2 linked regions of the Drosophila melanogaster genome follow. The protein of the gene in region 1 interacts with the protein of each later gene in a pairwise test. Each region holds a gene or a part of one and is shown on either strand. Other genes may lie near its edges. The genes, in order: Arp10 and bic.

The links.
Region 2: the proteins of Arp10 (region 1) and bic interact in a two-hybrid assay, tested with the Drosophila melanogaster proteins (2 studies listed by BioGRID).

The regions. Positions count from the first base shown.
Region 1 is NC_004354.4:19,644,031-19,648,279, reverse strand, and holds Arp10 (Actin-related protein 10), read left to right. Parts: upstream 1-2,103; 5' UTR 2,104-2,363; coding exon 2,364-2,434; intron 2,435-2,494; coding exon 2,495-2,647; intron 2,648-2,697; coding exon 2,698-3,610; 3' UTR 3,611-3,749; downstream 3,750-4,249. Other genes in the region: Ranbp21, read left to right, coding at 1-705; Sec61gamma (Sec61 gamma subunit), read right to left, coding at 4,187-4,249.
Region 2 is NT_033778.4:12,868,551-12,872,499, forward strand, and holds bic (bicaudal), read left to right. Parts: upstream 1-1,698; 5' UTR 1,699-1,780; exon of another isoform or gene 1,781-1,852; coding exon 1,853-2,362; 3' UTR 2,363-3,244; downstream 3,245-3,949.

The sequences.
Region 1 (4,249 bases):
AATGCCAACAGCAATTCTGTGGCCATGGAGAATGAGGAGCACTCGATGGACAGCGCACCGCAATCGCGAGCAATCCAGTCGGCACTGCTCTCGGACATCATAAGCGACTTGGGCGGCAAGCTGCTGCGCAACGGACTCATTGGCAATTATGTGCTCATGACCTTGCTAAAAGCCATCGCCTGGAACGACGGCATGTGCAGCATGAAGGCTGTCAACATCGCAGCGCCCGTGATGCGTTTCCTGGCCGCCGAGAAACTAATGGACGAGAACAAGGCCGTCACGGCCTTTACCGCCGTCCTGCAGGGCATGCAGGTGCACGGTCAGCACGAGGCCAACCAATCGGGCCTGGTGACGCTGGGCGTGCAGTTCTACGAGCTGCTCCGTCCGCAGTTCCCCATTCTCAGCGAAGTGCTGCAGCATATCCCCAGCGTGAATGCGGCCGACATTCAAAAGTTCGACGAAAAGATTGCCGTGGCGCCCGTCAAGGGCAACAAAGTGGATCGCGCCAAGAAGGACATCTTCAAAAAGCTGACCGCCCAGCTGGTCGGACGCAGCGTGAACCAGTTGTTCCGGCACGAGGTGCAGATAGCCAATCTGCCGCCCATGCAGTCGCACAAGGCCAAGGGATCCATGGGCACCACGGCTGACATCATGGATAGCAATCAGAACGCGAGTCTGGCCAGGCTCTTTGGGCCGGAGAAGTGACACGGAGCGCAGCGGAAGCAGAAAACGAGATACACAAACGAACAGGAACAGGATAGGAGAAGCAGGAGGAGGCGTCGCAGCGGAGGCGGCGCCACCAGTGACACCACCTCTGTCCTGGTCGAGGACCGGGATCAGGAGCATGTCGAGACCACGGCCACCTCAGCTGCCAAACTAGCGACGACTGAACTGAATGTAACTGTAAATTAGCTTAGACGATGAGTTCGCACTTTTTCTCGCCCTTGTCCAAGACCATGACCCAGTCCGTGTCCCAGTCCCAGTCCCAGTTCCCAATCAGATCTTACAGTTATTAATTTATTTATTTTAACAACTAAATTTTAAGCGTACCCGCAATGAAGCAATTTTTTATTGAATTTGTCTCATGCGGGCATCGCAACCGCTTCGATCCGAACCGTTTCCCCCCCAGTTTCTGGAGGAAAATGGTGACTCGTGACTTGTTACTGCTTTGTTATTTATTATTCGAAATTTGTTAAACTTGTTTGCTCAAAGGAACTACTAGAATCGCTAGTTAGCAATACTCCGGCCCACAACCGTCAATCCGCAATCCTTAGCCCTCGTCCTATGGCCCCAGGTCCCAGGTGCTTCGCAGAGACGCCAGAAGACCATTTTATACATAGTTAATTAATTAATTATTTAATGAATTGTGCTTTCCTCGTTTTGTATAGTTACCTATGCGCAGGCATAATGTAATTTATATAATTGTACACATTTATCATTTGAAGGAATATTTCTGAAATTACGCTTAGGTTTAGTTGATAGGCAAAAGTTATTATTATATAATACATCAAATTGTATATGATCACACATCCCGCACCGCGAATGCATCATGCATTATGCAGTATAATAATTATAGCCCAAAAACACACCAGGATACTAAGAAAACATAATGAAATCGAAGCGGTCGACCGTGCAAAAACACAAATCGAAATAAGATAAAGCAGATAAATTTGAAATAAATTTAAAAATTCAAAGTGGAACCGACTTGTTTTAGTAATACGCAATATAATAATTTCAAACAGGACGATATCCATGCAAGAAAACATCACTGTGGACGGCAGTTAATGTAGTGACGAAGCGCGCCCGGAGACTTTGCGATTATATTGAACAAAAGTTGTTCTTAAGATATATGAATTTAATTTCACAAGAATCATTATAATTATTAGCTTCAAACTCGCGAAATTAACTTCTTAAATTCGATAAAGTAGTTTTGTAAACTTACTGAAAAGCATACATATGTATGTACACTGCAATAAACTAAAGTAAAGTTGATTCTATTTGTACGTAAGAGTTAGACCTCTTAAAAGCAGAATAATCGACTGACACCAAATGATTCCGAGCTACTTTCAAAATTTTATCTTGTTGGGTTTTAAAAGCCATAAAATACCAAAATACCAAATTGAATGTATTTCAAACCAATAGGCAAAGTTTTAAAGTTACCCAGAAATTTGAAAAGCGTGCCAGTAAAACGGATGCCATTAGTGGAAACAGGGTGTTTGCTCGCTACATCGTCAATCGATGATTTCCGCACACCGATAACTTCTTGTTTTGGCCAAAAATTAAGCGAACTGAACAATATACCATTCCATGGTCTAGTCGGTTCGTCCAGCAAAGGAGCAAGCAGCCAGCAGACAGCAGCCAAGATGCCCATTTACGAGAGCGTGATGCAGGAGAAGCCGCCCATTGTCCTCGACATTGGCACCGCCTACACCAAGTAAGCAAACGCAAATAATTCGGCGAAAGTGGTATGAAGTCATCACTGCACCCTTTTCAGGCTGGGATTCGCAGCGGAGGCGTATCCGCGCAAGATCATGCCCACGGAGGTGGTGATGACCACGACGGGGATCCGGAAGCGTCTGTTCGACTACGACACTCCGGAGGAGCTGTACGACCAGCTAGTGGATTTTCTGCAGACGATCTTCTTCAAGTAGGTGACTCGGTGGCTTTGGTTTCTATTGCAATGTAATTTCCTTCTAGGCATCTACTGGTCAGCCCCAAGGAGCGCAAGTTCGTGCTGGTGGAGAACGTGTTCGGATCCACTGTGCTGCGTGAAACCTTGGCCCGCGTGCTCTTTGTCCACTTCGACGTCTCCTCCGTGCTGTTCGTGCCCGTGCATCTCATTGCGCTGTCTACGCTGGCAGTGCCCACTGCCCTTGTGGTGGACGTTGGCTACAGCGAGACCAGCGTTATGCCCGTCTTCAGCGGGGTGCAAATCATGGCCGCCTTCAAGGATCAGAGCTACGGAGGCAGCGCCATCCACGCGGAGATCAAGCGGCAGCTGGTTGAGAGTGGCGTTAAGGAGAGCCTGCTAACAGAAAGCGTGCTGGAGGACATCAAGGTGCGAACCTGCTTTGTGACCACCATGGAAAGAGCCAAGGCCCGCGCCAACGGCGACGAGAATCAGCCGACTCCCGCGCCAGACGTGGACTACATTGTCAGCGACAACGATGCGGTCATCCAGGTGCCCGGCCTCCTGCGGGAGTCTGCCTACGAGATCATGTTCGAGGCCAGCAACGAGCGGGACAGCCTGCCGCATCTCATCCTGCGCTCCATTCTCGACTGCACACTAGACGTGCGACGTGCCCTGGTCGAGAGTGTGTTCCTCGTGGGCGGCGGCTCAATGGTCCAGGGTCTGCTGGCCCGCCTCCGCCAGGAGCTGCAGCATCTGCTCACCGAGGATCCGTTCTACGCCGAACGCTTCCATGGCGAGCTGCAGTTCAAGTTTTTCAATGCTGTCGGCAAGCAAAACTTTACTGCCTGGCTGGGCGGCGCCTTGTGCGGCGCGACGGATCTCATCCAGACACGATCGCTGGTCAAGGAGACGTATCTAAAGAGCGAGCACGTTCCCGACTGGAGCAACCTGTGCGATAATAGGCCGACAGGCTCGTAGACTCGAGGGCAGTCCCGGAAGATGGAAATATGTACGCTTCGGCGCTTTACTGGTTACGCGTACTAACATACTCTTGATTATTATTCTGTAATATATAGGTATTAAATATTTACGAAATATAGGCTAACGAGCTTTAAACAAAATATTGCTTGTACGTTTTCTGGACATTTATTCTTGGTTCTAATGATGATGTCGGTTTATCAGCTTCATTTACAACTTTACTTTCTTCAAGCAATGTAACGTTGCGTCTCTCAGAGTTAAAAGAATCTCATTTGTACACGGAAAATCAATTTAACATTTATTAGCGGGGATGCGCACCCCAAACAAATGCTATGAAGACGGGTGATTCCTTTTTACATTTGAATCTTATTAACTAACTTGTTCATGAATGGAATATCGAAACATTACAATACGTTTTCGTACGTTTGTGTAGAATTTTGTTAGAAAGGCATTCGCTGAATGCACATGGTCCATACATATAATGCATGTTAACTAAACGAAAAAAAAAGACGTTGATCTGATGTATGCTATAATGGATGATTGGATGATTGGTGGTTTCCTTGCCACTCAGCGCATTTAAGAGCCCACGATGATATTGTTGATGGGGATGTGTATCAACTTAACGAAGAAGCCGATGAA
Region 2 (3,949 bases), on another chromosome or scaffold:
CGGCCATATAAATAAACATACATAAATAGACAATTACTTTGGCCCTTGCTGATAAAGTAAGTTCCGCTTATTGCTGAGCATACTTAATGTTGTTTACGAATCGGTGGAGAGGCAAAAGAAAAAAACCAAACAAGCCAAAAGCTCTCTCCCATTATTCAGATCTGTCTCTCTCTCTCTATAAATATGTATATCGACTAAATATAATTGTTATTATCACTTCTTAACACGAATAGGATTTTATATACTCTTACACACACTCGCTCACTCATAAAACTCATCTTTTGAGCTAAACTCCGGCTGCTTTGTCTTTCTGAATGACTCATCGGGGAGTTTTTATTTGATTAATGGCTTATAGGCTAATACTTCTACATATATTTTATACAGTTACTCACTGGACAGAACGGCACCTTGGCGTCTGCTGGTGCAGCAATATCCGCAGCAACTCATGATGAGGAAGGTGAGCAGAAAGAACATGAAAATGCCCCAGAAATCCATGGCGAAATCGTCTATATCGTCCAACTCAAAGTCGTCCACTGCGGAAGAAGTTAATGTGTTTAAAAGCTCGTTTCATAGTCGATAAGACGTCGTGAAATACTTACGTTTGACAAGGATTTAGCGGTTATTTCCCTTTGTTAATATCTGTATTTAAAGTCGAAAATTCCACTTGTTGCAGGGAATGCACTGCCTATTTATCGGATTTATCCGCTTTTTGGCAGCACCCGTATAATTCACTTAAATATCAGTGAACTACTCTACCGGAAGGTCGTTATTGAAGCCCGATTGGAATTAACTATATCTTATCAGCGTTAATCTGAAAGTAATACAATTTATCATGATGATAATGGGTGCACGTTATGCAGCACTGACTGCGCTGGCTATGTTTAGTGAGCAGTCGATGTAAAGCGGCGATAGCTAGCGCACTCAACACAGCAATCGATAATTCAAACATAACATCTGATTTAATTGTGTTTAAAACTTTATTGCAAGGTATATAATGGCTCATAATTTTATTTATTTGCGTTCCAAATATTTACTAAATTGAGTTTGTTATACTAAGCTTGTATATTTTGTATAGATATTTTTTAAAACATTACAATTTATCATAATGATGACGTTATGCAGCACTGACTGCTGAGTTTAGTGAGTAGTCGATGCAAGCCAACGATAGCTATCGAACTCAACAAAGCAATCGATACTATTGGAATAGAAAATATAAGAATTAATTAATTCAAACATTACATCTGGTTTAATTGTGTTTAAAACTTTATTGCTGGGTTTATGATGGCTCATAATTATGTTTATTAACATTCCAAATGTTTAGTAAATTGGTTTTTTTTCTTACCACGTTTATTTTTAATTTTATATAGCAAATTTTTAAACATATTTACTTATATATGTGGTTGAAAGCGATGAAAATAAAGTAAATCGATTAAATTGAGATTTATGCCCTGAGTAGATTTACTTTCCCACCATATACTACTAAAAATTTGAATATATTCAAAACTAAAAATTCATTCAAAATTCAGAAAACGTATTACTTCAAAAATAATGTATAAATTATATAAACAATAGAATTTTTAAATTTCTTTGGCGCGCTTTGGTTGCCACCTTGTGAGCTATCGATAGTCAACACTCACGTTTAGTACTTCCTACCAGTACTACTCACATATACATACACCTTTTGCCATTTTTATCATGGCGATTTCTTTTTGACATTTGACTACGACTGGGCGCACGTGTTTTCTGGCAAGGCTCTGTGCTAAATTCTAGTAAAATCAAAGTGAGTAGTGGAAAGTGCGGCATTCGATTGGCGTTTTACTGATGCGACCATTGTGTGTACTCAATTGAACAGATGAACGCGGAAAAGCTGAAGAAGTTGCAGGCGCAGGTGCGCATTGGCGGCAAGGGCACCCCTCGCCGCAAGAAGAAGATCGTCCACTCCACGCCCGCCACCGACGACAAGAAGCTGCAGTCGTCGCTCAAGAAGCTGTCGGTAAACACAATTCCCGGCATCGAGGAGGTGAACATCATCAAGAACGATGGCACCGTCATCCACTTCAACAATCCGAAGGCCCAGGCCTCGCTGCCGACGAACACGTTTGCCATCACGGGTCATGGCGAGAACAAGACGATCACCGAGATGGTGCCCGGCATTCTGACGCAACTGGGTCCCCAGGACATCAACCAGCTGAAGAAGCTGGCCACGGAGATTGCCAGCAAGAGCGGCGCCGGCGGAGCAGCCGGCTCTTCAGCCGCCGATGCCGGTGACGATGATGTGCCCGATCTGGTCGAGAACTTCGAGGAGGTGGCCATCGCCGACACAAAGGAGGAGAAGTCCGGTGAGGTGGCGGCCTCCGCTTAGGCTGGTCCAACCCCGCCCACCCGGGCAAATCACACCACCACACACCGAACACAAAAACATACATACAAAACATACGGGGCCAGGGAGCAAGACGAAGTGGCTGGCATACAGGGCAGAACCCACACACCAGACACGCCGGAAACACATCTACCACTTACCCATTCCGGTTCCAAATCGGAAACGGATCCACTCCGGACTGCAACCAGCGCTTCTGCCCTGAATGGGCCATTCTTCGTGCTCCCTCCAGCCACTTTTTTGGGGGTCATGCTACACACTATACTAAAATACAAAAATAAAGGCATCCGAGTGAGCGCTGAACAGAACACATAAGCATAATAACTATACTTAACATACTAAGGGAACCCTTCAATCTTAATCTAATTGTACTAGTTTGGAACAGTCAAATGTATTTTCCAAAGCGATTAAAGAACGTTTCCTTAACCAAAAAAAACCACAGTCTAAACAACACACACATTCTAATTTTTGCCGCCCTCCCAAGAACAACACACACAGATGTATCTATAGATATATGCGCTGTCATAAAACACTATATACTATATATATACGATACGGTTTTCGGAAGAATTGTGACGAGGTGATTAGGGGAACAACGCAGACACTCCAGATGAATTCATTGCCAGGTCGCGAGGACAGAGAAATATATTTTTAGCACTACTAGCTCTTACCGATTTTCCCCAATTTCCGACTTTTCGATGTAACCCCGCCCTCAAGGAATCCTCAATTGAAAACGAAAACAAGCTGAGGCCACAATTTCGATTCGAGAACAATGTGCCCAAATTGTTGAAAGCATAGCTTATAATTTGTAAACTATTGTTTTAGACCATCATTACCATGCATAACATTAAATGAGCTGTAAAAACCATACGACCCATTCATATTTCCAGCATTTTTTTTTTAGTTTAATGCCTATTTTTTTCTTTGCTTGCATAATCGACATGTGTGTGAGTGTGGGCCTGTGTGTGTATGCATAGCAACGCTCTTGTGTGAGGTTTTCGAGGTGATGGGAAAGGGGTAGTGGGAGGTGTGGCGCAAAGCACGCGGCAGTCGAAAACTTGTTGACATTTGGTATGGTACGTCTAAAATCCAGATGGTCAGAAGGCTCCTTCGGCAGGAACTATGACCCGTACGCAACTTCCAAATTATGTGTCCAAATCCAAAGTTGGGAGTCGTAGCATGCGGTACATGCACATATGTATATATATAAATATGTATATGGTTTTTGGTCGGAAATCTTCGAAATGAGTCACGTTTAAATTGGCTTAAAATTGCGATTAGGCCAGTTCAACCGGAATGTTTCTTGAAGTTTCCACTCATTTGTACATAAACAAGCGATTGCGGCTTCTTATCACATTTCGACGACCTATAACGGATTAAGGTTAATGCAAATGCTAGTATTTTTATCAGTGACGAGGTCAAATAGAGTTAAAAACTCATATTTAATTGTGGCAAATATATTTAATTGATGTTTATTAGGTTTCCAATTGGGTTTTGTTTTGATTTTTTGTCCTGCCAACTTGTTTTATAAACATGCGTGCATAGCTAATACTGCGGATATACATATGTATG